Linked DNA regions of Anolis sagrei. The protein of the gene in region 4 binds, or shares a complex with, the protein of the main gene of each other region. Links are inferred from orthologs where the notes say so. Each region holds a gene or a part of one and is shown on either strand. Other genes may lie near its edges. The genes, in order: RGMB, BMPR1A, RGMA and BMP2.

Evidence for each region.
Region 1: the proteins of BMP2 (region 4) and RGMB are in contact, whole or in part, in a crystal structure (PDB 4UI2), measured with the Homo sapiens proteins. The link is inferred for Anolis sagrei from reciprocal best matches to the Homo sapiens genes BMP2 and RGMB. Residues at the interface, in NP_001191.1 of Homo sapiens: Val308, Gly309, Trp310, Trp313, Met371, Tyr373, Leu374, Asp375, Glu376, Tyr385, Met388; in NP_001353437.1 of Homo sapiens: Lys97, Arg100, Gly101, Leu103, His106, Ser107, Leu110.
Region 2: the proteins of BMP2 (region 4) and BMPR1A are in contact, whole or in part, in a crystal structure (PDB 2QJ9), measured with the Homo sapiens proteins. The link is inferred for Anolis sagrei from reciprocal best matches to the Homo sapiens genes BMP2 and BMPR1A. Residues at the interface, in NP_001191.1 of Homo sapiens: Lys297, Pro330, Phe331, Pro332, Leu333, Ala334, Asp335, His336, Ser339, Asn341, Ile344, Val345, Leu348, Asn350, Ser351, Val352, Asn353, Ser354; in NP_001393490.1 of Homo sapiens: His66, Cys67, Pro68, Asp69, Ile77, Thr78, Asn79, Phe83, Ile85, Cys100, Met101, Lys102, Glu104, Gly105, Phe108, Gln109, Asp112, Arg120, Ile122.
Region 3: the proteins of BMP2 (region 4) and RGMA are in contact, whole or in part, in a crystal structure (PDB 4UHY), measured with the Homo sapiens proteins. The link is inferred for Anolis sagrei from reciprocal best matches to the Homo sapiens genes BMP2 and RGMA. Residues at the interface, in NP_001191.1 of Homo sapiens: Val308, Gly309, Trp310, Asp312, Trp313, Met371, Tyr373, Leu374, Asp375, Glu376, Lys383, Tyr385, Met388; in NP_064596.2 of Homo sapiens: Arg91, Arg94, Gly95, Leu97, His100, Ser101, His104.

The regions. Positions count from the first base shown.
Region 1 is NC_090022.1:251,975,150-251,982,219, forward strand, and holds the start of RGMB (repulsive guidance molecule B), read right to left. Parts: upstream 3,022-7,070; 5' UTR 3,007-3,021; coding exon 2,523-3,006; intron 1-2,522. UniProt on the Homo sapiens protein: Member of the repulsive guidance molecule (RGM) family that contributes to the patterning of the developing nervous system. Acts as a bone morphogenetic protein (BMP) coreceptor that potentiates BMP signaling. Promotes neuronal adhesion.
Region 2 is NC_090023.1:159,897,305-159,904,851, forward strand, and holds the start of BMPR1A (bone morphogenetic protein receptor type-1A), read right to left. Parts: upstream 3,012-7,547; 5' UTR 2,719-3,011; intron 1-2,718. UniProt on the Homo sapiens protein: On ligand binding, forms a receptor complex consisting of two type II and two type I transmembrane serine/threonine kinases.
Region 3 is NC_090029.1:17,659,737-17,666,654, forward strand, and holds the start of RGMA (repulsive guidance molecule A), read left to right. Parts: upstream 1-3,908; 5' UTR 3,909-4,166; coding exon 4,167-4,186; intron 4,187-6,918.
Region 4 is NC_090021.1:147,057,419-147,064,830, reverse strand, and holds the start of BMP2 (bone morphogenetic protein 2), read left to right. Parts: upstream 1-4,409; 5' UTR 4,410-5,073; intron 5,074-7,412. UniProt on the Homo sapiens protein: Growth factor of the TGF-beta superfamily that plays essential roles in many developmental processes, including cardiogenesis, neurogenesis, and osteogenesis. Induces cartilage and bone formation.

The DNA.
Region 1 (7,070 bases), on a different chromosome or scaffold from region 4:
TTTGAAAGTCTGTCTTTTTTGTTTGTATTGTTTTTGTTCTTTTGATTCTTCCTTCATGATTTAACAAAAATGAGGATTTAAAGAAGTATCCCTCCCGTGATTCCATCGCATTAAGCCCTGGCAACTAAAGTACTGACAACTTGCATTAATTCTACAGCCTTAATGCCCCCAATCCTATGGAACGCAGGGAGTTGTAGTTGGCGAAACACCAAAGAGGCAGAGAAGGCTCAAGAATTTATTAAACTACAACTCCCAAGATCCCATAACATTGAGCCATGGTAGATGTCCCCCATCCTATGGAATGTAGGGAGCTGTAGATTGACGAGGAACCAAAGAGGCAGAGAAGGCTCAAGACCTTGTAAAACTACAACTCCCAAGACCCCATAACATTGAGCCATGGCAAATGCCCAGAATCCTATGGAACATACGGAGCTGTAGTCTGACGAGGCACCAAAGAGGCAGAGAAAGCTCAAGACTTGTAAAACTACAACTCCTAAAGTCCCATAACATTGAGCCACGGCAGAGGCCCACAATCCTATGGAGCATAGGGAGTTGTAGTTTGCCCCCAATGGGATGGAACCCAGCAAGTCTTCCACTATAGAATGAATGGAATTTGACAACACTTTAACTGCCTTGACTCAATGCTATGGAATCCAGGGAGTTGTAATTTGACAAGGCACTAAAGAGGCAGAGAAGGCTCAAGACCTTATTAAACTACCACTCCTGAGGTCCCAGAACACTGAGCCATGATAGATGATTCCAATTCTATGGAATGGAGGGAGGTGTGGTTTGCTGAGGTACCAAAGAGGCAGAGAATGCTAAAGATCCTGTAAAACTACAACTCCCAGGATCCCATAACCTTGAGCCACAGTAGATGCCCCACTGTGATGGAACCCAGCAAGACTTCCACTATAGAATGAATGCGATTTGACACCACTTTAACTACCTTGACTCAATGCTATGGAATCCAAGGAGTTGTAGTTTGACAAGGCAGAGAAGACTCAAAAACTTATTAAACTACAACTCTTGAGATCCCATAAAACTGTGCTGTAGAAATTACAAGTGTTGTCAAACTGCATTCATTCCACTGTGTAGGTGCACCCATTGAAAAAACTACAACTCCCAGGATTCCACAGCATTGAGAGATAGCAGTTAGGAGTGGTGCCAGGATGTGTTAATTCTACCACATCCAAGCCTAGGAAACTCTGAAAGTTGCAGTTTGTAGAAAAGGCTCAATGTCTTGTAAAACTACAATTCCCAGGATTCCACAACATCAAGGGGATGGCTGTTAGGAGCGGTGCCAAGCTGTGTCAATGCTACCGAATCCAAACCTATGGAATCCTGGGAGTTGTAGTTTGCTAAGGCAGAAGAGGCTCAAGGCTTTGCAAAACTACAGCTCCTAGGATTCCATGCTGCCTTAATTCTACTGCATTGAAGGCTATGGAATCCTGGGAGTTGTAGTTTGATAAGGCAGAGGAGGCTAAAACCTTGCAAAACTACAACTCCCAGGATTTCCACAGCATCGAGGGATTGCAGTTAGGAGTGGTGCCAAGCTGTGTTAATGCTAACTGCATCCAAGCCTATTGAATCCTGGGAGTTGTAGTTTGTAGCAAAGGCTCAAGACCCTGCAAAACTACAACTCCCAGGATTACACAACATGGAGGGATGACGGTTAGGAGCGGTGCCAAGCTGTGTCAATGCTATTGAATCCAAATCTATGGAATCCTGGGAGTTGTAGTTTGCTAAGGCAGAGGAGGCTTAAAACCTTGCAAAACTACAACTCCCAGGATTCCAAACCATGGAGGGATGGCCGTTAGGAGAAGCAGTGCCAAACTGCTTTAATTCTATTGCATTCAAGCCTATTGAATCCTGGGAGTTGTAGTTTGTAGCAAAGACTCAAGACTATGCAAAACTACAACTCCCAGGATTACACAACATGGAGGGGTGGCGGTTAGGAGCAGTGCCAAGCTGTGTTAATGCTACTGCGTCCAAGCCTATGGAATCCTGGGAGTTATAGTTTCCAATGGCTGAAGAGGGTCGAAACCTTGCAAAACTACAAGGCAGCTAGGAATGGTGCCAAACTGCTTTAATGCTATTGCACCCAAGCCTATGGAAACTTGGGAGTTGTAACTTGCAGAAGACGCTCAAGATCTTGCGAAACTACAATTCTCAGGATTTCGCAGCACAGAAGGATGGCGGTTTGGAGCTGTCCTAGCTGTGTTAGTTCTACTGCTTCCAAGCCTATGGAATCCTGGGAGTTGTAGATTGCAGAAGAGGCTCATGAACTTTGCAAAACTACAACTCCCGGGATAACACAGCTTGGAGGGGTGGCGGTTAGGAGCCAAGTTGCGTTAACTCTACCGCATCGAGGGCTACGGAATCCTGGGAGTTGTAGTTCGCGAAGGCAGAGGAGGCTCAAGACCTTGCAAAACTACAACTCCCAGGATTCCATAAGATGGGTAAAGTGGTGCCAATGCGCATTGACAGTCTACACCCGGGAAAGAGAGCGTCGGCGGCGGTACCTGCGTGAAGAAGGAGCCCGAGGCCGACGAGGAGCCCCAGGAGAGGCGGGGGTTGGCGCTGCTTGCGGCGTTGCTGCTGCTGCTGCGGCTCCTCCTCAGCGCATGCGCAGTACGGGCCCGCCCTCCCCATGCCCGTCCATGCAGCTCTGCGGGGCTCCAGCGGCGAGGAGGCGGCGGCGGGGCGGGTGCATGAGCCGCCGGGCGGGCCTCCTCCTTTTCCTCCTTCTCCTCGCTTCCTCTTCTTCTTCCTGAGGGTCAGCCCCAGCCAGGGACAGGCAGCGAAGGCGGCGGCAGCAGCATCCCCAAGCCAGAAAGAGAAAGAAGAGGCACAAAGCCAGTCAGAATCCGCGAGCGCCGTTCCTCCTTCTCGCCTTCCCTCCCTCCGGACCTTCCTCACTGGAAACAATCTCGGCTCCGCTCTTCCCCGCCCGGCGCCCCTCCCGCCGCGCTCCCATTGGTTCCGCCCCGCCCACCACGCTCCCATTGGTTCTTCCCCGTCCGCTGCGCTCCCATTGGCTGGATGGCGCCGTCCAACAAAACAAAGGCGGCTCTCATAGGAGGCCGGAACTTTCCTCCCCCTCCTTTGAAAAAAAAATTGGAGTCGACTTTTGCCAAAGAGCGCAGTGGCTTGTCTGGGTGTTTACACTTTAAGGAGTGGGTGGGGTTGGCTTTCCTTTCCTTTTGGTTGGGCTGGTTAGGCTCAAAACAACACTGCATCCTGGGAGGATTACAAAAAGGGAATCTAGCTCCTGGAGTATGGGTGCATCTGCACTGTAGGGTTAATCCAGTTTGGCACTGCTTTAACTGCCATGGCTCAATGCTATGGAATCCCGGAATTTGTTTGGTCGCCAACATTCATAGAATCACAGAGTTGGAAGAGGCCTCGTGGGCCATCCAGTCCAATCCCATTCGGCCAAGAAGCAGGAAAATCGCATTCAAAACACCCCCGACAGAGGGTCATAAATTTGGAAGAGGTTTCGTGGGCCATTCAGTCCAAGCCCATTCTGCCAAGAAGCAGGAAAACCACATTCAAAACACTCCCAACAGATGGTCATAGAGTTGGAAGAGATTTCGTGGGCCATTCAGTCCAACCCCATTCCGCCAAGAAGCAGGAAAATCACATTCAAAACACCCCAGACAGATGGTCATAGAGTTGGAAGAGACCTCGTGGGCCATCTAGTCCAACCCCATTCGGCCAAGAAGCAGGAAAATCACATTCAAAACACCCCTGACAGATGGTCATAGAGTTGGAAGAGATTTAGTGAGCCATTCAGTCCAACTCCCTGCCAAGAAGCAGGAAAATCGCATTCAAAACACCCCAGACAGATGGTCATAGAGTTGGAAGAGATTTTGTGACCATTCAGTCCAACCCCATTCTGCCAAGAAGCAGGAAAATTGCATTCAAAACACACCCGACAGATGGCCATCCAGCCTCTGCTTAAAAGCCTACAAAGGAGCCTCCACCACACATTCTTTAGAAGAAAAGACTATAAAGAGCTTGCAAAACTACAACTCCCATTATTACAAAGTGGGATCGAGCTGCACTAATTCTAAAGGCATGGGCAGACTTTGGCCCTTCCTCCTGGTGTTCTGGACTACAACTCCCATAATTCCTAACAGCAATTAGGCTATTAGGAATTGTGGGAGTTGTAGTCCAAAACACCTGGAGGGAGGGCCAAAGTTTGCCCATGCCTGGTGTAAATGCATGCATAGATTCAACAGTTAGGAAGATCCTCTAATCCAGGGGTCCTCAAACTTTTTAAACAGAGGGCCATGTCACAGTCCCTCAAACTGTTGGAGGGCTGGGTTATAATTTCAAAAAACCATGAATGAATTCCTATGTACACTGCACATATATTATTTGTAGTGCAAAAATACTTAAAACAATACAGCAATTAAAATTAAGAACGATTTTAACAGATATAAACTTATTAGTATTTCAATTGAAACTGTGGGGCCTGCTTTGGCTAATGAGATAGGATTGCTGTTGTATGCTTTCAAGTCGTTTCAGACTTAGGATGAACCTGAGCGAGGGCTAGGTAGATGACCTTGGAGGGCCGTATCCGGCCCCCGGGCCTTAGTTTGAGGACCCCTGGTCTAATCTAAACTCATTCTGCCAGCCAGCATGCCAATGACTTAAATCAAGAAATAGTTTTCTAAGATCTACAGAGACACTCAGCAAGCGAGAGTCCAAAAGTGGCAAGTTAAAACCCAGCACCTAAATCCATGGCCAATACCAAATGAGAAACTCCCTCCTGGACACACAGAAAACTGGGTGACTTGGAAGGTTCTGAACAGACTGCACTCTAGCATCACAAGATGCAGAGCCAACCTTAAGAAATGGGGCCACAAAGTGGAGTCCACAACATGAGAGTGTGGAAAAGAGCAAACCACAGACGACCTATTACAATGCAGCCTGAGCCCTGCCACATGCACAATGGAGGACCTTCTTATAGCAACACCAGAGGTACTCTAAGTGGCCAGCTACAGGTCAAAGGACATTTAATATAATGCCAAGTTTTCAAACTTTGTGTTTTTTAAAAAAATACGATGTAACCGTAGCCTTGGTTCGCTCCTGATACAATAAATAAATATCCTGATAGATGGCCATACAGTCTTTGTTTAAAAATAAACTCTCAAATATGTCATATGACAGATGTATTACTTATATGCACAATATAGAAGAGCAATTTCTCTTTATCATGGATAAATGACCATATTCATAGATAAACACAATAGTCCAATTTGTCTGATGGTTTAAAGTCCTTTGGTTTAATAGTCCTTTGAAACATCTACAAATGACTCTTTCAGTCATCAGACAAATTGGACTATTATGTTTATCTACATGAATATGGGCATTTATCCATGATAAAGAGAAGTTGTTATTCTATATTGTGTATATAAGTAATAAATCTGTCATATGACATCATATTTGAAGTTTCAACAACAATAACATAATACTTTGTGTATCTCAGTAATAGATATCTGTGTTCTATATATTTAAAAAAAACCTCTAAAACAAGGTGATTTTTAAAAACACATCTTAAGTTATAGGAAATTCGGGACGTGCCCTTTAAGAAGGCAAAGCGCGCTCTGAAAACCCGCAGGCTGACTCCTTCAGCCCTGCGTCGTACTTCCTACAGCCAATCAGAGCGCCCGCTGCTTTGTCCCAACATTCCGATTTGGAACATAAGGCTTCCAAAGCCAAGAGCACTTAGCTGGGACAGGCTGGGAATATGATTGGCTGGGAGCGAGGAATAGGGAAGGGGGGGGGGGCATTGTGTCACGTGACCCATGGAAGCTCGGTTTAGGTTACAGACCGAGCGAGCGCCAACTAGACGGATTCCTAGAGGGCAAAAAAGCTCGGCTGGAACTTGAATGCTGGAGGAAGGGAGAGACGCCAAGGGATTGCCACCGATTTTGTAATAGCAACTTAGGGTACATCTACACCAGGAATGGGCCAACTTGGGCTCTCCCTCCAGGTCTTTTGGACTTCAACTCCCACCATTCCTAACAGCCTCAGGCCCTTTCCTTTAAGTTGTTAGGACTTGTGGGAGTTGAAGTCCAAAACACCTGGAGGAAGGGCCCAAGTTTGCCCAGGCCTGCTCCACACCAACCCAAGTGGTCAGATGGGCCCTGGGAAAGGAATCCCACTTGGCTGGAACAGAGAAATGTAGGGAGTTCTAGTTTGCTCCCAATGGATGGAACTCAGCAAGACTTCCCCTATAGAATGAATGCAATTTGACACCACTTTAACTGCCTTGAGTCAATACTATGGAATCCAGGGAGTTGTAGTTTGATGAGGCAGTGAAGACTCAAGAACTTAGAAAACTACAGCTCCCAGGACTCCACAGCATGGAGCCATAGAAACTACAAGTGTTGTCAAACTGCAGTTATTCCGCAGTGTAGAGGCGCACGTTGCAAAACTACAATTCTCAGGATTCCACAGCATGGAGGGATGGCAGTTAGGAGTGGTTCCAAGCTCTACTGCATCCAAGCCTATGGAATCCTGGGAGTTGTAGTTTGGTGAGGCACCGAAGATGCAGGGAAGGCTCAAGAATTTAGAAAACTACAGCTCCCAGGACTCCACAGAGCCGTAGAAATTACAAGCGTTGTCAAACTGCAGTCATTCCACAGTGTAGGTGCGCCCGTTGCAAAACTACAATTCTCAGGATTCCACAGCATAGAAGGATGGCAGTTAGGAGCAGTCCCAAGCTGTATTAGTTCTGCTGCTTCCAAGCCTATGGAATCCTGGGAATTGTAATTTGCAGAAGAGGCTCAATACCTTGAAAACTACAACTCCCACAATTCCACAGCTTGAAGGGATGGCAGTTAGAAGCGGTTCCAAGCTGTGTTAGTTCTACTGTAGCCAAGCCTATGGAATCCTGGGAGTTTTAGTTTGCAGAAGAGGCCCAATACCTTGCAAAACTACAACTCCCAGGATTCCACAGCACGGAGGGCCAGCAGTAAGAAGCAGTTCCAAGCTGTGTTAGTTCTACTGCATCCAAGCCTATGGAGTACTGGAAGTTGAAGTTTGCAGAAGAGGCT
Region 2 (7,547 bases), on a different chromosome or scaffold from region 4:
ACCAGTGTTCACATTTGGGCATATTGAGTATTTGTGTAGTTTGGTCCAAATCCATCATTGTTTGAGTCCACAGTGATCTCTGGATGTAGGTGAACTACAACTCCAAAACCAAAGGACACTGCTCACCAAACCCTTCCAGTATTTTCTGTTGGTCATGGAAGTTCTGTGTGCCAAGTTTGGTTCAATTCCATCGTTGATGGGGTTCAGAATGCTCTTTGATTGTAGGTGAACTATAAATCCCAGCAACTACAACTCCCAAATGACAAAATCAATTCTTTTTGAGTGAAGAACATACATTGGGTTGTTAGGTTTTGTCTTGTGTCCAGATTTGGTGTCAATTCGTCCAGTGGTTTTTGAGTTCTGTTAATCCCACAAATGAACATTACATTTTTATTTATATAGATTTTCCTAGTTCCAACAGACCTCACTACCTCTGAGAATGCTTGCCATAGATGCAGGCGAAACGTCAGGAGAAAAAACCTACAACAACCAACAACAACAACAACAATTCTTTATTGATTAGTCAATTTTGACCGTATCAAAACATGCAAAACATACACTTGGCCATACATACAGTATACATACAGTAAAACCATATATGAATACAAGGCAAGGCATATTCCGGTTTCTCTTCAGATCGCATAAACCAGGGGTCCTCAAACTAAGGCCCGGGGGCCAGATACGGCCCTCCAAGGTCATTTACCCGGCCCTCACTCAGGTTGAACCTAAATCTGAAACGACTTGAAAGCACACAACAACAACAACAACAACAACAACAACAACAACAATCCTATCTCATCAGCCAAAAGCAGGCCACACTTCCCATTGAAATACTAATTAGTTTATATTTGTTAAAACTGTTCTTCATTTTAATTATTGTATTGTTTTTAAGGGGTTTTTTGCACTACACATAAAATGTGTGCATATTCAAATTATAATCTGGCTCATGCTGCAGATACAATAATATCTACACCAGTGGTTCTCAACCTGGGACCCCTGGGGGGGGGGTCGCGAGGTGGTGTCAGAGGGGTCGCCAAAGACCATCAAAAAACACAGTATTTTCTGTTAGTCATGGGGGTTCTGTGTGGAATGTTTGGGCCAATTCTATCGTTGGTGTGGTTGAAAATGCTCTTTGAATGTAGGTGAACTATAAATCCCAGAAACTACAACTACCAAATGTCAAGGTCTATTTTCCCCAATCTCCACCAGTGTTCACATTTGGGTATATTGAGCATTCATGCTAAGTTTGGTCCAGATCGATCATTGTTTGAGTCCACAGTATTCTCTGGATGTATGTGAACTACAATTCCAAAACCATTCCAGTATTTTCTGTTGGTCATGGGATTTCTGTGTGCCACGTTGGGTCCAATTCCATCATTGGGGGAGTTCAGAATGCTCTTTGATTGTAGGTGAACCCTAATATATCCCAGCAACTACAACTCCCAAATGATAAAATCAATCTCCCTCAACCCCACCAGTATTCAAATTTGGGTGTATTGGGTATTTCTGCCAAATTTGGTCCAGTGAATGAAAATACATCCTGCATATCGGATATTTACATTACAATTCATTACAGCAGCAAAATTACAGTTATAAAGTAGCAACAAAATAATGTATTGTCGAAGGCTTTCATGGCTGGAATCACTAGGTTCTTGTGGGTTTTTTCGGGCTATAGAGCCATGTTCTAGAGGCATTTCTCCTGACATTTCGCCTGCATCTATGACAAGCATCCTCAGAGGTAGTGAGGTCTGTTGGAATTAGGACAATGGGTTTATATATCTGTGGAATGGCTGGGGTGGGGCAAAGAACTCTTGTCTGTTGGAGCTAGGTGTGAATGTTTCAACTGATCACCTTCATTAGCATTTGAAGGCCTGCCTGAGCCTGGGAAAATCTCTTGCTGAGAGGTGTTAAGATGTGCCTGGTTGTTTCCTCTCTGTTGTTTTGCTGTTGTAATTTTAGAGTTTTTTAATACTGGTAGCCGGATTTTGTTCATTTTCATGGTCTCTTCCTTTCTGTTGAAATTGTCCACCTGGTTGTGGATTTCAATGGCTTCTCTGTGTAGTCTGACATGGTGGTTATCGGTGTGGTCCAGCATTTCTGTGTTATGGTTGGGGGTCACCACAACATGAGGAACTGTATTAATGGGTCGTGGCATTAGGAAGGTTAAGAAACACTGATCTACACCATGCTGCAGATATAATTATTATTATTATTATTATTATTAAAAAAAATAAAAAATCTGGCCCTCCAACAGTTTGAGGGACTGTGACCTGGCCCTCTATTTAAAAAGTTCGAGGATCATTGGCATAAATCGTTACAACAACCCAAAATCTCACAAGATCTGCTTCGAACTGGCAGTGTGGACTCAGATATTCAAAGCAGATATTGTGGGCTTTTTCTGCCTCGATAGTCTGGGTTATAGCTGTGTGGAAGGGTCCCAAGTCCACACTGCTATATATTCCAGTTCAAATCGGATAATGTGCGATTGTATTCAGCTGTGTGGAAGGGGCCTATGTGTGCGAGTGGGTCTTTCCATAGAGCTCCCGGCCAGGCCTCGCCTACTCTTAGTCTGGAGACGGCGACTAAGTCTCTTGCTTCTTAAAAGGCAAAAACGAACGCAATTCAAGCCAGGCCTTAAAGGAGGAGGGAATATTTTCGGAAGGGAAGAGAAGGGACTCCTTCCCGCCGCCATTAGCTCCCCGCCTTTGCCTCACTCACCCGTGCCGGGGGGCCTTCATCCTCCTTTGTGCGGAAGGAGAGAGACAGAGAGAGAGAGAGAAGCAGGTCTGAGGTAAACCGCGTCCCCTCGGCTGAGGGCCTGGCCCGGTGGGGACCTTCCTCGGCTTCTCTACACGACGAAGGCGAAGGCGGCCCACGAAGACGAGGGAGAAAACTGTGAGGAGACAGCGCAGGCCTCTCCGCCTTTACCACAGCCTTTACCACAGCCGCCTCTCGACGCCAGCGCCGCCGTCCCCCCTCCCTCGTCAGAGCGTGAGCGCGCGCGCGCGCGCGTGTGCCTCTGTGTAGATGTGTCTGGGCACGCGCCTGCGCAGGAAGACGCGGAGGGAAAACGTCGCGCGCGCGCACACACTCCCTCGCGCTCTCTCTCTTGCGTGCTTGAGGAGTACGGCAGGAGGGGGGAGCAACGTTTGGAACGCTCTCTCTCTCACTCACTCGAATTATTCCAATCACTGCTAGTCGTGAAGCATGCCATGATTGGCTGGGGAGGAAAGTGCGAGGCGCGCGGACTCTACCTCCCCCCCCCCCTCCGCGCGTGCCTGCGTCTGTCCTTCCCCATCCCCCGTGCTCTCTCTTTTTAAAGTCCCTAAGGTGTTATTTGGCTGCCTTCCCGCCTCTCTACGGAAGTAGCCGAATAAGTTCGGAAGGGGTCGGCTTTAAAGTGAGGCCCCCAGCTCCCCGCACAGGCCAACTTGGCGCAGGCGCATTGGGATACACCTTTCCCAAAGAGAGGAGAAAGGGGTGCCGAAGTGGTGGCGGAGATTCCCGAAGGAGGCGCCTTCGGGGAAAGCGAGGCGGAGCTTCCCCGCCATTTCCGACCTTGGGAAGTTTTGGCGATAGAATCATAGAATCAAAGAGCTGGAAGAGACCTCATGGGCCATCCAGTCCAACCCCCTGCCAAGAAGCAGGAATATTGCATTCAAATCACCCCTGACAGATGGCCATCCAGCCTCTGTTTAAAAGCTTCCAAAGAAGGAGCCTCCACCACACTCCGGGGCAGAGAGTTCCACTGCTGAACGGCTCTCACAGTCAGGAAGTTCTTCCTCATGTTCAGATGGAATCTCCTCTCTTGTAGTTTGAAGCCATTGTTCTGCATCCTAGTCTCCAAGGAAGCAGAAAACAAGCTTACTCCCTCCTCCCTGTGGCTTCCTCTCACATATTTATACATGGCTGGCTATCATATGCTGGGGAAAGTGGAAGGTAAAAGGAAGAGGGGCCAACCAAGGGCAAGATGGATGGATGGCATCCTTGAGGTGACTGGACTGACCTTGAAGGAGCTGGGGGTGGTGACGGCCGACAGGGAGCTCTGGCGTGGGCTGGTCCATGAGGTCACGAAGAGTCGGAGACGACTGAACGAATGAACAACAACAAATCATATCTCCTCTCAGCCTTCTCTTCTTCAGGCTAAACATGCCCAGCTCCTTAAGCCGCTCCTCATAGGGCTTGTTCTCCAGACCCTTGATCATTTTAGTGGCCCTCCTCTGGACACATTCCAGCTTGTCAATATCTCTCTTGAATTGTGGTGCCATATAAGCAGGAGCGGTTTAAGGAGCTGGGCATGTTTAGCTTGAAGAAGAGAAGGTTGAGCGGAGATATGATAGCCATGTATAAATATGTGAGAGGAAGCCACAGGGAGGAGGGAGCAAGCTTGTTTTCTGGATGGCCATCTGTCAGGGGTGCTTTGAATGCAATATTCCTGCTTCTTGGCAGGGGGTTGGACTGGATGGCCCATGAGGTCTCTTCCAACTCTTTGATTCTATCTGCCTTGATATTCTGGGTTAAATGGCTGTGTGCAAGGCCCCTGATTTCAAAGCAGATATTGTGGGTTATATGGCTGTGTGGAAGTTCCATAAGGGGAAGTGAGCAGCCCAGGATACCAAGTTGTATTTATTTGCTACAGGAATGGGCAACCCATGTGGCTCCTGATATTGGGAGAATAGCACCATGTATGCTGGGACTAATAATAATAATAATAATAATTTTGTGTGTGTGTGTCAGGAGTAACTCCTGGTGTGAGAGAATTGGCCGTCTGCAAGGACATTGCCCAGGGGACACCCGGATGATTATGATGTTTTTATCATCCTTGTGGGAGGCTTCTCTCATGTCTCCGCATGAGGAGCTGGAGCTGATAGAGGGAGCTCATCTGCCTCTTCCCAGATTCGAACCTGCGACCTGTCGGTCTTCGGTCCTGCCGGCACAGGGGGTTAACCTGTGGTCAGTGGAAACATTCACACCTAGCTCCAACAGGCAAGAGTTCTTTGCCCCACCCTGGTCATTCCATTTTCCTAATTTCAAGAGACCTCACTACCTCTGAGGATGCTTGCCATAGATGCAGGCGAAACGTCAGGAGAAAATGACTCTAAAACATGGCCATATAGCCTGAAAAAAACCTACAACAATCCAAAGTACCATTCCTGGTCCATTAGGTAAGAAAGAGTGAGTTATAATGGTGAACTGGAGATAAGCAGGAGTGGACAGCATATTTCTTTTTGTTTAGGAATGATATGTTTAAAACTGATGATGATGATGATGATAATAATAATAATAATAACAATAAACTTTATTTATATACCGCTCTGTCTCTCTCGGGAGACTCGGGGCAGTTTCCAAGCAACAAGATCAAAATATACAGAGTCACAACATGAACAAAAAATAACAGCAACATAAGCATGGAATTACCCGACAACACATAAATATTAAAAGAAAAGATCTTGCCTGCTCTTCATATCTGCACCGGGATTGTGGTGCAGCTGGCTGAGTGTCAGCTGCATTAAGATCACTCTGACCAAAAAGGTCATGAGTTCGAAGGGTTGGAGTGGGTTTCCAACCAATTGTGTGTAGCCTGTTGTCGACCTTTGCAACTGTTGCATCTGTCAAGTAGGAAAATAAGGTACCACCTTAAAGTGTGGGGAGGCTAAATTAACTGATTTATGAGGCCATAAAGAAGACTCCAGCAAAGCATTCCAGCGGGGAAGCATGCGGGGAATGCGGAAGTGCTTCATCAGTGTCGCAGATGGACGATGAAAGCGACAGCTCCCCTGGTGGCCAGAAAAAGTTAAATAGCCTCTGTGTATGTCTGTATATGTTTGTATGTCAAAAATTGGCATTGAATGTTTGCCATATATGTGTATACTGTAATCCGCCCTGAGTCCCCTGCAGGGTGAGAAGGGTGGAATATAAAAGCTGTAAATAATAATAATAATAATAATAATAATAATATCTAATTTTTAGGGCATGGAAAAGGAATGGGTCAGGACAATTTAAAATGACAACTTTTTTTTTAAAAAAAACACACAGCAGTTCGGTAAATATATTAGGGTTTTTTTAAATTAAAAAATCAAGTCTGTTCTGTCTTAAAAATACTTTGTGAAAACTGCATTTTCACATTGTCCTCAGCACATTCATATAAAAACCTGACAGCCTATGGAAATGTCCCAGTCAGCATGAGGAAAAATGAAGGAAGGGTTTTGCTTAGTAATGTGAAAAACGAGTTGCATTGCCTGTGAAATCTACTATAAAGAGACTCCTGCATTGTGCCAATGTACTTGTCTTTTCCTTGACAGCTGACTAAGATGTTATTGGGATATCGCAGCAGTTTCTCATGGCACGGTGCCCTCTTCGCCAAGCAGTTTGTGAAGGACAAGTGGATGGGAAAAGCATTGAAGATGCTTGAAATTGGCAGCTGGCCTTCTGTGAAGCTTCAGAGGGAAACAGTGGCCTGTATTGTTCGCCTTCCAGCCTACCACCCTCCAGTTCCAATACTGGAAGCTGGCATTTAGAAAGAACTGCCATTGCTTCAGAATAGAAGAGGAGAGCTCATGGCTCAAGAGCAGTACAAGCTCTTTGTGTCCAAAACACTTCACATTCATCATCTTAGTGACTAACATCTCCACTGGTTTTGTTGCCCGGTGGTATTATTGTATAACTATGTCATGCCCGGTTGTTTTAAAGGATGTAAAGAAAGAAAAAAGGGATAAAAATATTTTAAACTAGCCGTCCCCTGCCACGCGTTGCTGTGGCCCAATCTGTGTATATGTGTTTTGTGTGTGTATAAAATTTGGTGTCAATTCTTCCAGTGGTTTTTGAGTTATGTTAATCCCACAAACAAACGTTGCATTTTTGTACTAGCTGTCCCCTGACACGCGTTGCTGTGGCCCAGTCTGGTGATCTGGAAAATAAAGTAATGAGAAAGTGTTGGTTTCTAATATATGTAATTCCTTTATGCTTGTGAGTAAACAGTATTTCTTGTTGTTTCTTTGTCAGTGTTGATGTGGAGAGTGTCTGGTTTGCCTACTCTGGAATAGCAACATATCATAGTCCTTCTTTAAGGGTCTCTTTCAAATCTATGATACTATATCTGTGTGTGTGAAAGAGAATCATATCTATCTATCTATATTTATGACTGGATGGCTCTTTGTCAGGAGGGCTCTGATTACATTTTCTTGCCCTGGTGAAGAGAGTTGGACTGGATGGCCTTAAGTATTTTCTGTTGCTCATGGGGGTTCTGTGTGGGAAATTAGTCCCAATTCTGTCGTTTGTGGGATTCAGAATGCTCTTTAATTTTAGATGAACTATAAATCCCAGCAACTACAACTCTGAAATGTCAAGGTCTATTTCCCTTAATCTCCATCTGTGTTCATATTTGGGCATATGGAATATTCGTGCCAAGTTTGGTCCAGATCTATCATTGTTTGAGTCCACAGTGCTATCTCGAGGTGGGTGAACTACAATTCCCAAACTCAAGGTCAGTGCCCACCAAACCCTTCCAGTTTTTTCTGTTGGTCATGGGAGCCCTGTGTGCTAAGTTT
Region 3 (6,918 bases), on a different chromosome or scaffold from region 4:
ACTTGTGAAACTGCTTCTGGTGTGAGAGAATTGGCCGTCTGCAAGGACGTTGCCCAGGGGACGCTCAGATGTTTTGATGTTTTGATCTATTTATTTATTTATTTATTTATTTATTTACAGCTTTTATATTCCGCCCTTCTCACCCCGCAGGGGACTCAAGGCGGATTACAGTGTACACATATATGGCAAACATTCAATGCCAATTTTTGACATACAAACATATACAGACATACACAGAGGCTATTTAACTTTTTCTGGCTGCCAGGGGAGCTGTTGCTTTCATCATCCATCTGCGACGCTGATGAAGCACTTCCGCATTCCCCGCATGCTTCCCCGCTGGAATGCTTTGCTGGAGTCTTCTTTATGGCCTCATAAATCAGTTAATTTAGCCTCCCCACACTTTATTTTCCTACTTGACAGATGCAACTGTCTTTCGGGTTGCAAAGGTCAACAACAGGCTACACACAATTGGTTGGAAACCCACTCCAACCCGGGCTGGCTTCGAACTCATGACCTTTTGGTCAGAGTGATCTTAATGCAGCTGACACTCAGCCAGCTGCACCACAATCCCGGTGCCAATCTAAACATTAAGAAGGGAATATTGATGATAAGAGCTGTTTGACAGTGAAATATATGCCGTGGAAGATGGCAGTCTCTCCTATCCTGGAGGTCTTTCAGCTGAGGCTGGATGGCCATCTGTCAGGAGGGCTTAGATTGGGCATTCCTGCAGAAAATAATGGGGTTTGATTGGATAGCCCTTGTGCTCTCTTCCAACTCTATGAATTTATGGTTCTAAGTTTTATGCTTGGTATGTTTAGCTTGGAGAGGAGAAGATATATGGAAGGTGACATATAGAAGATGGAGAAGTCTTGTTTTCTGCTGATCTGGAGGCTAGAACATGAATGAATGGATTCAAATTACAAAAAAAGACATTGAGTCAGCTGCATACTCTGCTTAACAGCAGATCCAGATCTGTTCGCTTGCTATATATCCATGATCTGAACATATTTTATCACACTCCCAGATATACATGTGTTTAGCACACATAAACACTTGCTGAGATTTAAACACGGCATCGGAGGATAAGTGCCATTGCTTCTGACATGACATGTCTGAAAGACTGGAATAATAAAAGGTGGCAATAAACGGGATTGTGTATGTGCCGTAAAATGAATGCTGTCGTTTGTTGTCTCGGATGCCTCCTGTTTCTCTTTTTATCCCGAAAGACCAAAGAGGCATTTCTCCCGGCTTCTCCGCGGGGTTGTCAGTTTCTTTTGTTTTCAATGGAAAAATGGTAGTTGCCATTTAAAAGATATTTACTTCAGTTTAATGAGACTCGTGAGCCCGGAAAGATAGATTCAGGCCCCTATAGACAATTGAATGTATTAGTCAGTGTTAGACTATTCTGAAATGAGGGAAGATAAATTGGCACATGTGGGAGCAAGAGCACTTCGTTCCCTTTTTAATTCATTCCATTTATAACCTTCGTTTCGCCGCAAGTATTCAAAACTATAGGTTAAAATAAAGTCGAGCTAAAACAGGCAACATGATTTAATGGTTTGGGTAACAGACAAGGATTCTGAGAGTCTCTGCTCAGCATGAGAACCTATTGGGTTACCTCCCTGGGTATTTTAGACTGTTTAGTCGATTTTGATCATTTTCACATCTGATACGGACCAACTTGGGATTATTTTAATGGGTCATTCAATATTGCTATGTATTAACTATGTTGAGGAGCCCCTGGTAGTGCAGTGGGTTAAAGCGCTGAGCTGCTGAGCTTGTTGATCGAAAGGTCGCAGGTTCGATTCTGGGGAGCAGCGTGAGCTTCCGCTGTCAGCCCTAGCTTCTGCCAACCTAGCAGTTCGAAAACATGCAAATGTGAGTAGATCAATAGGTACCGCTCTGGCGGGAAGGTAACGGCACTCCATGCAGTCATGCTGGCCACATGACCTTGGAGGTGTCTACGGACAACGCTGGCTATTCGGCTTAGAAATGGAGATGAGCACCATACCCCAGAGTCAGACATGACTGGACTTAATGTCAAAGGACTACCTTTACCTTTACCTTTATTAACTATGTATGTTTGGTTGGTTGCTTACTTACTTAGGCGATCCCTCATTGTCCAAGTAGGATAGTCTTCCAAGATCAATGTACTGGTGGGTCTGTAAGTGACTCTGGAGCCCTATTCTTGATCTGCATCTTCTCCCGCAGTGAGGGCATTGGTTTCCAGGTGGAAGGCGGTCCCGGTTGGGGTTGGCTTGATGCACCTTCCTCTTGGCACATTTCTCTCTTTTGCCCTCCATTCATGCCTCTTCAAATTCTACAGCACTGCTGGTCACAGCTGACCTCCAGCTGGAGTGCTCAAGGGCCAGAGCTTCCCAGTTCTCAGTGTCTGTGCCAGAGTTTTTAAGATTGGCTTTGGGCCCATCTTTCAATCTCTTTTCCTGCCCACCAACATTCCATTTTCCATTTTTGAGTTCAGAGTAGAGCAGCTGCTTTGAGAGATGGTGGTTGGGCATCCGGACAACATGGCTGGTCCAGGGGAGTTGATGGCAGAGGACCATCGCTTCAATGCTGGTGGTCTTTGCTTCTTCCAGCACACTGACATTTGTCCACTTGTCTTCCCAAGAAATTTGCAGGATTTTCTGGAGGCAGTGCTGATGGAATCGTTCCAGGGGTTGCATGTGACATCTGTAGACAGTCCACGTTTCGCAGGCATACAGCAGGATTGGGAGGACAATAGCTTTACAAAGAAGCACCTTGGTATCCCTACGGATGTCCCGGTCTTCAAACACTCTGCTTCATTCGGAAAAAAGCTGCACTTGCAGAGCTCTAGTGGTGTTGTATTTCAGTGTCAATGTGGACTTTTGTGGAGAGGCGACTGCCAAGGTAGCAGAAAGGGTCAACATTTTCTAATGTTACACAATTAAGCTGTATTTCTGGCATTGGAGAGGGATTGGCTGGTGACTGCTGGAAGAGCACTTTGGTTTTCTCGATGTTCAATGACAGGCCAAGCTTCTAATATGCTTCTGCGAAGATGTTTAGAGTGGCTTATAGGTCTTCTTCTGAATGTGCACAGATGACATTGTCATCAGCATACTGGAGTTCTATAACTCAGCTTTCAGTCTGCTGTGGTTAAACTGCTTGCCATCTGTCTGATAGATGATTTCCACTATGGTATTATAGCGATGAAGATGGAGAATAAAGTTGGGGCAATGACACATCCCTGTTTGACACCCGATTCCACCCTAAATGAGTCACTTTGGGAGCCATTGCTGTCCAAAACTGTTGCCATCATGTCATCATCTGGGAAGGGATTCCACTAGAGCATTGCAGCACACCCAAATACCTAGGAGTCACTCTGGACCATGATCTGACTTACAAGAACCACTGCTTGACTATCAAGCTTCAGTCCTGCCGGCACAGGGGTTTAACCCACTACGCCACCATATATATATATATATATATATATATATATATATATGAGCAAACTACAGACCACAGACTAAAATGCAATCAGAGTCTTTCCACATGCACAATGGAGGACCTTTTTACAGTGACACCATAGCAGTCGCAGTGGCCAGCTTCTGATCAAAGAAAATTTAGCATCATGCTAAACTGATTATGGTTTTTCTATACATTATAACCGTATTCTCAATTTGCTTCTGGCATGATAACCATACAAACAAACAAACTATGGTTGTAAGCCATCTTGGAGAAAGGGAATAAAGAAATGTCCCAAACAAATAAATACATATTTGGAGTCAAGAGAGCAGTTTCTCGAAGCTCAGCTCTTGCACCTCTCCTCTCCTAGACCTGGGCAACTGCTCAGCAATTTCCCCCCATCAGCCTTCTCCTTTTTCCTCTTCTCTTCCTCCTCCTCTTCTTCTTCTTCCTCCTCCTGGTCCTTTTGCAGAGATGCTGTGAGAGATGCAAGCGAAGATGCAAGCCTGGCTTTCTCCCTCCCGCAGTCTCTAAAGGCAACATTGGAAAAGGCAAGGAGAAAGGAGGAGGGCATTGCAGGTTCTTAAAGTCTGCAGGGAGGAAGAAAAAGGGCTGCTCTTTTGCTGTCAATCCAGCTTCTCCCGCCTCCTCCCATCTCACTCCTGGCATCCCAGCAAACGCCTGCAGGCTTCCGGCTCCCACTGTCTCCCAGCCAGGTGTAGATGCTCATGCAGCCACCAAGGTAAGCCGGGATGGACAGGAAAGAGGTAAGGGAAGGGGGAGGAGGCAGTGGGATGGGGATTTGGGGCTCTGTGGGTGGACTACAAGCCATTATGTGCTTTCCGCACCTTCCTCAATTGCATCTCCTGTTTCTCATCAGTTATCCCCTTGCTCCCTCTTTGGGTTGCCGAGCATCCCTATGCTGAATGCATAGGTCCCTTGTGTTGTTGGGTTGTTTGGGGATATTTTCCTTTCTTTTTCGTTTTTTGGAAAGCAGGATTTTGGTGACCCTTGACCCACCCCAGGTTGACCTCCTCCTGCCTCTTCCCTAATTCTGTTTACTTAGGGAACCTGTTGAGAGGTGTCCAATTCTCCCTCCTGCTTGCATTTCGCTCCTTGAAATGTTGTCTCAAGAGATCTCCTTTTTTCCTTTTTCTCTCCCTTCCAACCCTTTAAAAAAAACCCAAATATTGAGTTTAAGCTACTCTTTTGAAAATCTAATAAAAGTAATTTTTGGAAGGAACAAAATCAGAAGCTGGCCAGAATCCTATTGTTCATCCCGATCAGAGTAGACTCTTTGAATCAATGGGATTTGCCTATCTTTGGATACATCCTTCAATGATGGGGTCCATCAGTTTACCGAGGATTAATCGTTTATTATTATTATTATTATTATTATTATTTGAAACACGAGATGAGTCCACAGAAGACACTCTGCTGGTTGTTGTATTGGATCAAACATCAAACATTTCCCAATTATTATTATTATTACAATTATTATTATTATTATTATTACAGATTGCACTCGGGGACCTCTCTTCCCCTTTGATGCCTCCTGAAACAATACAATAGGTATGAGTGCTTACTCATAGGAGTATGTCACACTAAGTGCTGGATTAATCAATTATTATTATTATTATTATTATTATTATACAGATTGCACTTGGGGACATCTCTTTCCCTTTGAGTATGAGTGCTTACTCATAGGAGTAAGTCACACTAAGTGCTGGATTAATCAATTATTATTATTATTATTATTATTATTATTGATTGCACTCAGGGACATCTCTTCCCCTTTGATGCCTCCCGAAACAATATAATAGGTATGAATGCTTACTCATAGGAGTAAGTCACATTAAGTGCTGGATTAATAGATGTTTATTATTATTATTATTATTATTATTATTATTATTCATAATAATAATAATACAGATTGCACTTGGGGACATCTCTTCCCCTTTGAGTATGAGTGCTTACTCAAAGGAGTAAGTTACACTAAGTGTTGGCTTAATTGATGATGATGATGATGATAATTATTATTATTATTATTATTATTATTATTACAGATTGCACTTGGGGACATCTCTTCCCCTTTGAGTATGAGTGCTTACTCATAGGAGTAAGTCACACTAAGTGCTGGATTAATTGAGGTTTATTATTATTATTATTATTATTATTATTATTATTATTATTACAGATTGCACTTGGAGACATTTCTTCCCTTTTGAGTATGAGTGCTTACTCATAGGAATAAGTCACACTAAGTGCTGGATTAATCAATTATTATTATTATTATTATTATTATTATTAAGGATTGCACTCAGAGACATCTCTTCCCCTTGGAGTATGAGTGATCACTCATAGCACTAAGTCACGCTATTCTATTTTTCTCTCTCTTTCCAAAACAGAGGAAAGCTTGTCTAGCATTGCAGCACCACGAAACCACAATCTGACCGCCAGAAGCTAGGTAGATTTACTCAAGACCCATTGAGGACAATGAGGCTGACCCCCCCCCCCCCCCATGAGTCTGCACAGAATTGCCACTTTCTATGTCTCCGTGATATGGAATCGTGGGAGTTGTAATTCACAAGGTTTTTAGCCTTCTCTGCCAAAAAAAAAAAAAAAATGCTGGTGCTGCATGAAATTATGATCCCGTAGCATTGTGCCATGGTGGTGAGTGATGTCAAACAGCATTCATTCCACAGTGTAAATCAGGCAAGGGCAAACTTCAGCCCTCCAGGTGTTTTGGACCTCAGCTCCCACAATTCCTAACAGCCAGAATTATGGGAGTTGGAGTCCAAAACACCTGGAGGGCTGAAGTCTGCTCATACCTGTTGTAGATGCACTCGAAGCTTATTTTATGTGAGTGAATTCCTCTGAATTAAATGGTGCTAAAGAAAGAACCAGAAAGAGGGGGGAAAGGTGGGATTCCTATAGACAGGAGAAACCTTTCAGTAGGATGTGATGTTTGTTACTGAAGCCCTCGGGGTTATTTGAACTATCCAAATGATCCCAAACTCTCAGCCATCAATTCCTGGCACCAGCTGCAACGTTTTTTTCCCGTCCCAAGTGGGATTCTTTTTATTTATTGATTGATTTACTGTATTTGTATACCGCCCTTCTCAGCCCTCAGGTGACAATAGTAACGATTCAATACCCAAAACCACCATAAAACATTTTTCACACATAAGAAAAAAAGATCCCCCATTCATTCCTCTGATGGTTTATTTGGCCCCCTCCACACAACTGTATTAAACCCACATTGAACTGGATTATATAGCAGTGTGGACTCCAACGACCCAGTTCAAAGCAGATATTGTGGGTTTATCTGCCTTGATTTTCTGGGTTATATGGCTGTGCGGAAGGGCCCTTAGAGTGACAGCACATCAGTGAATTGTCACTTTCGGAAGATAATACTTCCTTTCTAAGGGACAGAAAGGATGAGAAAATTTGCCTATCCTTCCTATTATATTG
Region 4 (7,412 bases):
GGATAAATGGCTATGAATAATAATAATAATAATAATAATAATAATAATAGTCTTTATTTATACCCCGCCACCATCTCCCCAACGGGGACTCGAGGTGGTTTACATGAGGCCAAGCCCAAACAACAAATCACAACAAGATTAAAATCAATACACCAGCAAAAACGGTAAAATACGCACATACAAATAATAATAATTTTTTAAAAGAAATATACCAATACAATATGTATAGTAATGACAATGAGCGGGCCACATGTACAAGATAAAATGTTAAAAACTCAGGGTGAGATAATAGAAGTAGGTTATTTGCGAGGGAGAGCTCGTATAAACACGGGTTGAACAAGGCCTTCATATAAGGGAGGGAGAGTATACTCCAAGGACACTAACGTTGAGGGGAGCAATAGTGTAAGATTGTGTGGCTACTCTCCAAAGGCGCAGTGGAAAAGCCAGGTTTTAAGGTGCTTTTTAAAGGTTTCTAAGGTGAGGGCTTTCCTAATATCTCCGGGCAATGAGTTCCAGAGTTGGGGGGCCACAGAGGAGAAGGTTCTCTCCCTTGTACTCACAAGACGGGCCTGTGAGACTGGCAGGGGTGAAAGGAGGGCCTCCCCCGAAGAGTTCGGGCTGGTTCATGGAGAGATATATGATCAAGAAGATAGGGCTTTATAGGTGATCACCTGCACCTTGAATTGGGACCAGAAAATAAATGGCAGCCAGTGAAGTTCCTTAAACAGGGGGGTTGACCGCTCCCTGTAACTCGCCCCTTTCTGCATGTGGCATCAGTTCTTTAAAACAGTGTTTTCCAAACCTTCGTTTCCTAGGTGTTTTGGACTTCAGCTCCCAGGAGATCCAACAGTAAAGAATTCTGGGAGCTGATATCCAAAATACCTGGAGGAACAAAGTTGGGGAAACTGCTTGAAAGGGAGCAGAAAGAGTACAGATAAAGGCCAAATTCTAAAAGGTGGAAATCCCAGCTTGCACTGAATTTTATGAACCAGCCTTCTCTGTTGGCTGGGCATCCCAGGGAAGGTTGGCAGTGCAGGTGGAGGCCCGGCACCTTTCCCAAAACACATGGCGGCTTCTCCTTCTTTGACCTTCAAGCACAACCCTCCGAGTGAGTAAACACTTAAATCCCACCGCACACAGCTAATCCGATTTGTAGAGGCAGAGCCTGCGTGTCGCTTTACCTCTCTTTCCCTTATAGACAAAAGCCAAGATAATAGATCATTGTTCAGCCTTCCTTCAGTCCCAACGGCCTGTTTACTTCTGCAAGGTGAAGGAAAACCCATCCTGTTTTTTCTCTCCTGGCTGAACCTTTGGGATACCCACTCAATCCAAGCTGAGGACCTTGAGGGCCCTTCCACACAGCTAAATAAAATCCCACATTCTCTGTTTTGAACTGGAATATTTGGCAGTGTGGACTCAGATAACCCAGTTCAAAGCAGATATTGTGGGATTTTCTGCTTTGATATCCTGGGCAGAGACGGCCCTAGGTAATTTTCAATGGTAAGCAAACAGTATTTTGGCGCCCCCTCCCCCAACCAATCATTGATATATATTTTCTGTTCATCGTGGGAGTTCTGTGTGCCATATTTGGTTCAATTCCATCATTGGTGGAGTTCAGAATGCTCTTTGATTGTAGGTGAACTATACATCCCAGTAACTACAACTTGTATATGTCAAGGTCTATTTTCCCCCAAGAGCGCCTCAAGAGCGCCCCTGGGCAAAATCAACCATACTGCGAATGCTTACTTTGCGTAATGGTTGAGGCGCCCCTGATCCTGGGCTATATGGTTATGTGGAAGGGCCCAGAGAAACATATATAAGGACCATCTACACTGCCCTATGATGCAGTTTAACTACATTATAGGGCAGTGTAGCCTCATACAATAAAGTTCGATGCATTATACTATGTCACAAAATTTGAAAAATGTTCTGCTCCTGTTCTGAAAGTGTTATTTCCTGTTTCTTGTTTTGAAAGTAGTTGCTTTACTCCAGAACCTTCATTTTTGTGGCTGCCACAAACTATGTTGAATTGGTTGAGAGACTCTGAGATATTCATTGAAAAGCTATAGCCAAATGTGCTGCAGGGTGTCCCACAAAAGCAAAGTTTTGGTAGTTGGATAAACCTTTTCTCACGATGAAAAACTTTTTCTCATGATGATAGAACCAATTAGCAAATGATAACCCAGGAGCAAAAATCATGTGACATAGGCCTCTTCCACATAGCTGAATAAAATCCAACATTATTTGCTTTGAAGTGGAATATATGGCATTGTAGATTCAGGGCCCTTCCACACAGCTCTATATCCCAGAATATCAAGGCACAAAATCCCACAATATCTGCTTTGTACTGGGTTATATGAATCCACACTCAGATAAAGTGGGATTTTCTGTCTTAATATTCTGGGTTATATGGCTGTGTGGAAGGGCCCTTTGGCAGAGAAAGCCCAAAGCCCTGTAAAACTACAGTTCTCATGATCCCAGAGCATGGAGCAAGGGCAAGCCTGCATTCATTCTACACCTGAAATCCACAGATTGATTGGGTCAAAGTTGGCTCAGTTCTGAGGGCCCTTCCACACAGCCATATAACTCAGATTATAACGGCAGATAATCCAAAATATCTGCTTTATCTGAGCCCACACTGTCATATAATCCAGTTCAATGTGGATTTTATACTGCTGAGAAAGGCTGAGAAAGAGCCTAGTCACTGGTCTGGGTATTACCTGACCCTGTGTAATTTGTGTTTGTATTGCATATTTCCCCAGTTATGAGGGACCTGTAAACTACTGTATGTTATCTACCTAACAGTTGTGGATCCATGGACCATAATAATAACGTTGTTGTTGTTGTACTGCTTTGTGGAAGGGGGTCTGAGTGTTGATTTGGGAGTAAATGTCTCCAAGAAGCCCCTTGAGGAATCCCTCTCCTTCCATTTCCTCCCAGGACTGATGGAATTTGGAGTCCAACATCTGGAGGACCATTCCTTTTTTGTCCTGCCAAGGGCTATTTTGAATGGCAACCAAACAGTTGTTGGTTGGAAGGAAGGAAGGAAGGAAGGAAGGAAGGAAGGAAGGAAGGAAAAGAAGGAAGGAAGGAAGGAAGGAAGGAAGGAAGGGAGCGAGGGAGGAAAGAAGGAAAGAAAGGAGAGAGGAAGGAAAGAAGGGAGGGAGAAAGGGAAGAAAGAAGGGATGGGGGAAGGAAAGAATGAAAAAAAGGAAAGGAGGAAGGGAGGAAAGATGGAAAGAAGGAAAGAAAGAAGGGAGGGAGGGAGGGAGTAAAGAAGCAAAGAAAGAAGAAAAGGGGGAAGGAAAGAAGCAAAGAAGGAAGGAAGGAAGGAAAGAAGGGAGGGAGGGAGGAAAGAAGGAAAGAAAGGAGGGAGGGAGGGAAGAAGCAAAAAAAGAAGGAAGGAAGGAAAGAAGGGAGGAAAGAAGGAAGGGAATGAGGGAGTAAAGAAGGGAGAAAATAAGGAAGGAAAGGAGAGAGGAAGGAAAGAAAGGAGGAAGGAAGGAAAGGAAAGGAAGGTAAGGAGCAAAGAAAGAAGGAAAGGAGGAAGGAAAGATGGAAAGAAGAGAAGCAAGAAGGGAAGGAGAAAAGAAGCAAAGGAAGAAGGAAAGGGGGAAGGACAGAAGGAAAGAAAGAAGGGAGGGAGCGAGGGAGCGAGGGAGGGAGGGAGGGAGGAAGGAAGGAAGGAAGGAAGGAAGGAAGGAAGGAAGGAAGGAAGAAGCAAGCGAGCGAGCGAGCGAGGGAGGGAGGGAGGGAGGGAGGGAGGGAGGGAGGGAGGAAGGAAGGAAGGAAGGAAGGAAGGAAGGAAGGAAGGAAGGAAGGAAGGAAGGAAGGAAGGAAGGAAGGAAGGAAGGAAGGAAGGAAGATAGGGAGGGAAGGAAGGAAGAAAAGAAAGGAAGGAAAGACGGAAGGAAGGAAGGAAAGACAGAGGCGGAGACGGGACGGGGAGCCACTCCGGAGCGAACTGCCTCCGACGCCGTGTCTCTTTTCAAATCGATCAATCCCCCGAAAAAGGATCACTGGAAAAGAGGTCCCACTTTCGGCACTGGGCAAACTTTCTGACTCCTTTCTATGGAGTGTGGTGGAATCCCCTTCTCTGGGGTTTTATATTTTTTGTTTAAAGCAGAGGCTGCACGGCCATCTGTCGAGGGTGCTTTGATTGTGTTTGGGGGTTGGACCGGAGGGCGGTTTGGGGTCGCTTCCAACTTGCATCATTCTACGAATCAACAACGATTCCGTTTCTTTCTCTCTGGAGCAAAAGGAGGGGCAACGAAAAAAAGAGAGAAAAAAAAGAGGCGGCGTCCCCTTTAAATATATAGATTTCTCTAAGAAGACGAGCCGCCTTCTTGTGCTGCTGCTGCTGCTGCTTCTTCTCCGCGCGCGGCTTCTCCTCCTCCTCTTCTTGGTTCGCAGGCCGGCTTGTGATTGGCGGAGCCGCGTGAAGCCCTGGCGGCCGTGACATCAGCAAGGAGCGGGCCCACAAAAAGCGCGAGCGAGAGGAGGAGCGGCGGCAGAGGCAGAGAAGGCAGCAAAGGCAGAACATTCTCTCTCTCCAAGACTTGCTTGCGCGGCCAGCGGACAACCCTGCTTTCCTTTTTTCCCGCAAGAGGCGGCTTTGGGGAGACAAACTCACCAAACTTGGGCGCATCCTTAGGACTCTTTCCCCTCTTGATCTTGTAGTTGCGTCTCTATATATTCTTCTTATTGCGATTTCCAACCTCTGGGATGTTTCCGAGACGGCGACGCGGGCCAGGCTGGAGGCGGCCGGCGGCAAAGACGGAATCCTGCTCTTCCTCCTCTTCGAGGCGGCCGAGAAGAAGATGCTAAGAAGACGGGCATTGCCAGGAGCCCGAGAGGCGGGGATGCGCGCTCCGCAGGCGCTCCAGAGCCAGCCCGGCCGGAGACTGAAGCCCAAGCCGAGCGGAGACTGAAGCCCAGCCAAGGAAGGAAGGAAAGAGGCGCGCCGACGGGGCCAGGCACTCCTCTCCCATGCGCGGCTCGGCTCCATGGACGTGCCCCAGTCCCATCCTCCTCCTCCCGCTGCTTCTTAGGCCGTCGGAGGGATCCTAAAAGGTAAAAGACCCCACCAGGCACCTGCCGTCGAGGGCAGCCATCGGATGCGGATGCTCAGTCTCCATGCCTTACTAGGCTCATACTCTGCGCATCTCCAATTGGGACAGTGTAGCGCGCTTTTAGGGGGTCCCATCTCCTCCTCGCTTCCTCCTGAGTCTCAGGTGAAAGAAAGGAGGGGCTCTTTCCTTCCAAGGTGCGCCTCCTTGTCCCAATCTCTTGTTTTTCGGGATCTAGAAGCATTCTCTCCTGACGTTTCGCCTGCATCTCTGGCAAGAGGTTGTGAAGTCATTAGAAGACTCTTTGGGGCAGGGACTCGCAACCCAAGTTGCCTCTGCCACTTCCCTCCTTTGGTTTTCAGGCTTCCCTCTCCACGCCGCTTTGCACTCTTCGGCCCCGTCTACACAGCTGAATAGAATCCCACATTCTCTGCTCTGAACTGGGATATAGGGCAGTGTGGACTCGGGGTCCTTCCAGACAACGCTATAGCCCAGATAACCCAGTTCAAAGCAGATATTATGGGATTTTCTGCCTTTTTGGGGGGGATCCCTTCCACACAGCCCTGTATGCCAGAGTATCTGCTTTGAACTGGGTTATCTGAGTGCACACTCGGATATTGTGGGATTTTCTGCCTTAGTTCTTGGGGGGCTCTTCCATACAGCCCTGTATCCCAAAATATCTGCTTTGAAGTGGATTATCTGAGTTCACACTCAGATACTGTGGGATTTTCTGCCTTAGTTTTTTGGGGGCTCTTTCATACAGCCCTGTATCCCAGAATATCTTCTTTGAACTGGTTATGTGAGTGCACACTCGGATAATGTGGGATTTTCTGCCTTGTTATTCTGGGATATAGGGTTGTGTGGAAGGGCCCTCAGATAATCCAGTTCAAAACAGCTATTGTGGGATTTCCTGCCTTGGTTTTTTGGGGATCCCTTCCACACAGCTCTGTATCCCAGAATATCTGCTTTGAACTGGGTTATCTGAGTGCACACTCGGATATTGTGGGATTTTCTGCCTTAGTTTTTTGGGGGCTATTCCATACAACCTTGTATCCCAGAATGTCTGCTGTGAACTGGGTTATCTGAGTGCACACTCGGATATTGTGGGATTTTCTGCCTTGGTTTTTTGGAGAGCCTTTCCACACAGCCCTGTATCCCAGAATATCTGCTTTGAACTGGGTTATCTGAGTGCACACTCAGATATTGTGGGATTTTCTGCCTTAGTTCTTAGGGGGCTCTTCCATACAGCACTGTATGCCAGGATATCTGCTTTGAACTGGGTTCTCTGAGTGCACACTCAGATAATGTGGGGTTTTCTACCTTGATATTCTGGGATAGAGTGCAGTGTTGAAGGGCCCTCAGATAATCCAGTTCAAAGCAGATATTGTGGTATTTCCTGCCGTGGTTTTTTGGGGAGCTCTTCCACACAGTCCTGTATCCCAGAATATCTGCTGTGAACTGGGTTATATGAGTGCACACTCAGATAATGTGGGATTTTCTGCTTTTACATTCTGGGATACAGGGTTGTGTGGAAGGGCCCTCAGATAATCCAATTCAAAGCAGATATTGTGGGATTTCCTGCCTTGATTCTTGGGGGGCTCTTCCACACAGCCCTGTATCCCAGAATATGCTTTGAACTGGGTCCTCTGAGTGCACACTCAGATAATGTGGGATTTTCTGCCTTGATATTCTGGGAAAGAGTGCAATGTGGAAGGGTCCTCAGATAACCCAGTTTAAAGCAGAAGTTGTGGGATTTTCTGCCTTGGTGGGGTTTTTTTTGGGGGGGGGGGTGGCTTCCACACAGCCCTCTATCCCAGAATATCAAGGCAGGAAATCCAAAAATACCTACTTTGAACTGGGTTCTCTGAGTCTGCACTCAGATAATGTGGGATTTTCTGCCTTGATATTCTGGGATAGAGTGCAATGTGGAAGGGTCCTCAGATAACCCAGTTTAAAGCAGAAGTTGTGGGATTTTCTGCCTTGGTGGGGGTTTTTTTGGGGGGGGGGTGGCTTCCACACAGCCCTCTATCCCAGAATATCAAGGCAGGAAATCCCAAAATACCTACTTTGAACTGGGTTCTCTGAGTCTGCACTCAGATAATGTGGGATTTTCTACCTTGATATTCTTGGATACAGGGCTGTGTGGAAGGGCCCTCAGATAACCCAGTTCAAAGCAGACATTGTGGGATTTTCTGCCTTGGTTTTTGGGGAGCCCTTCCACACAATCCTGTATTCCAGAATATCAAGGCAGGAAATTCCCAAATATTTGCTTTGAACTGGGTTGTCTGAGTCCACACTCGGGGCCCTTCCACTCAGCCCTATATCCCAGAATATCAAGGCAGA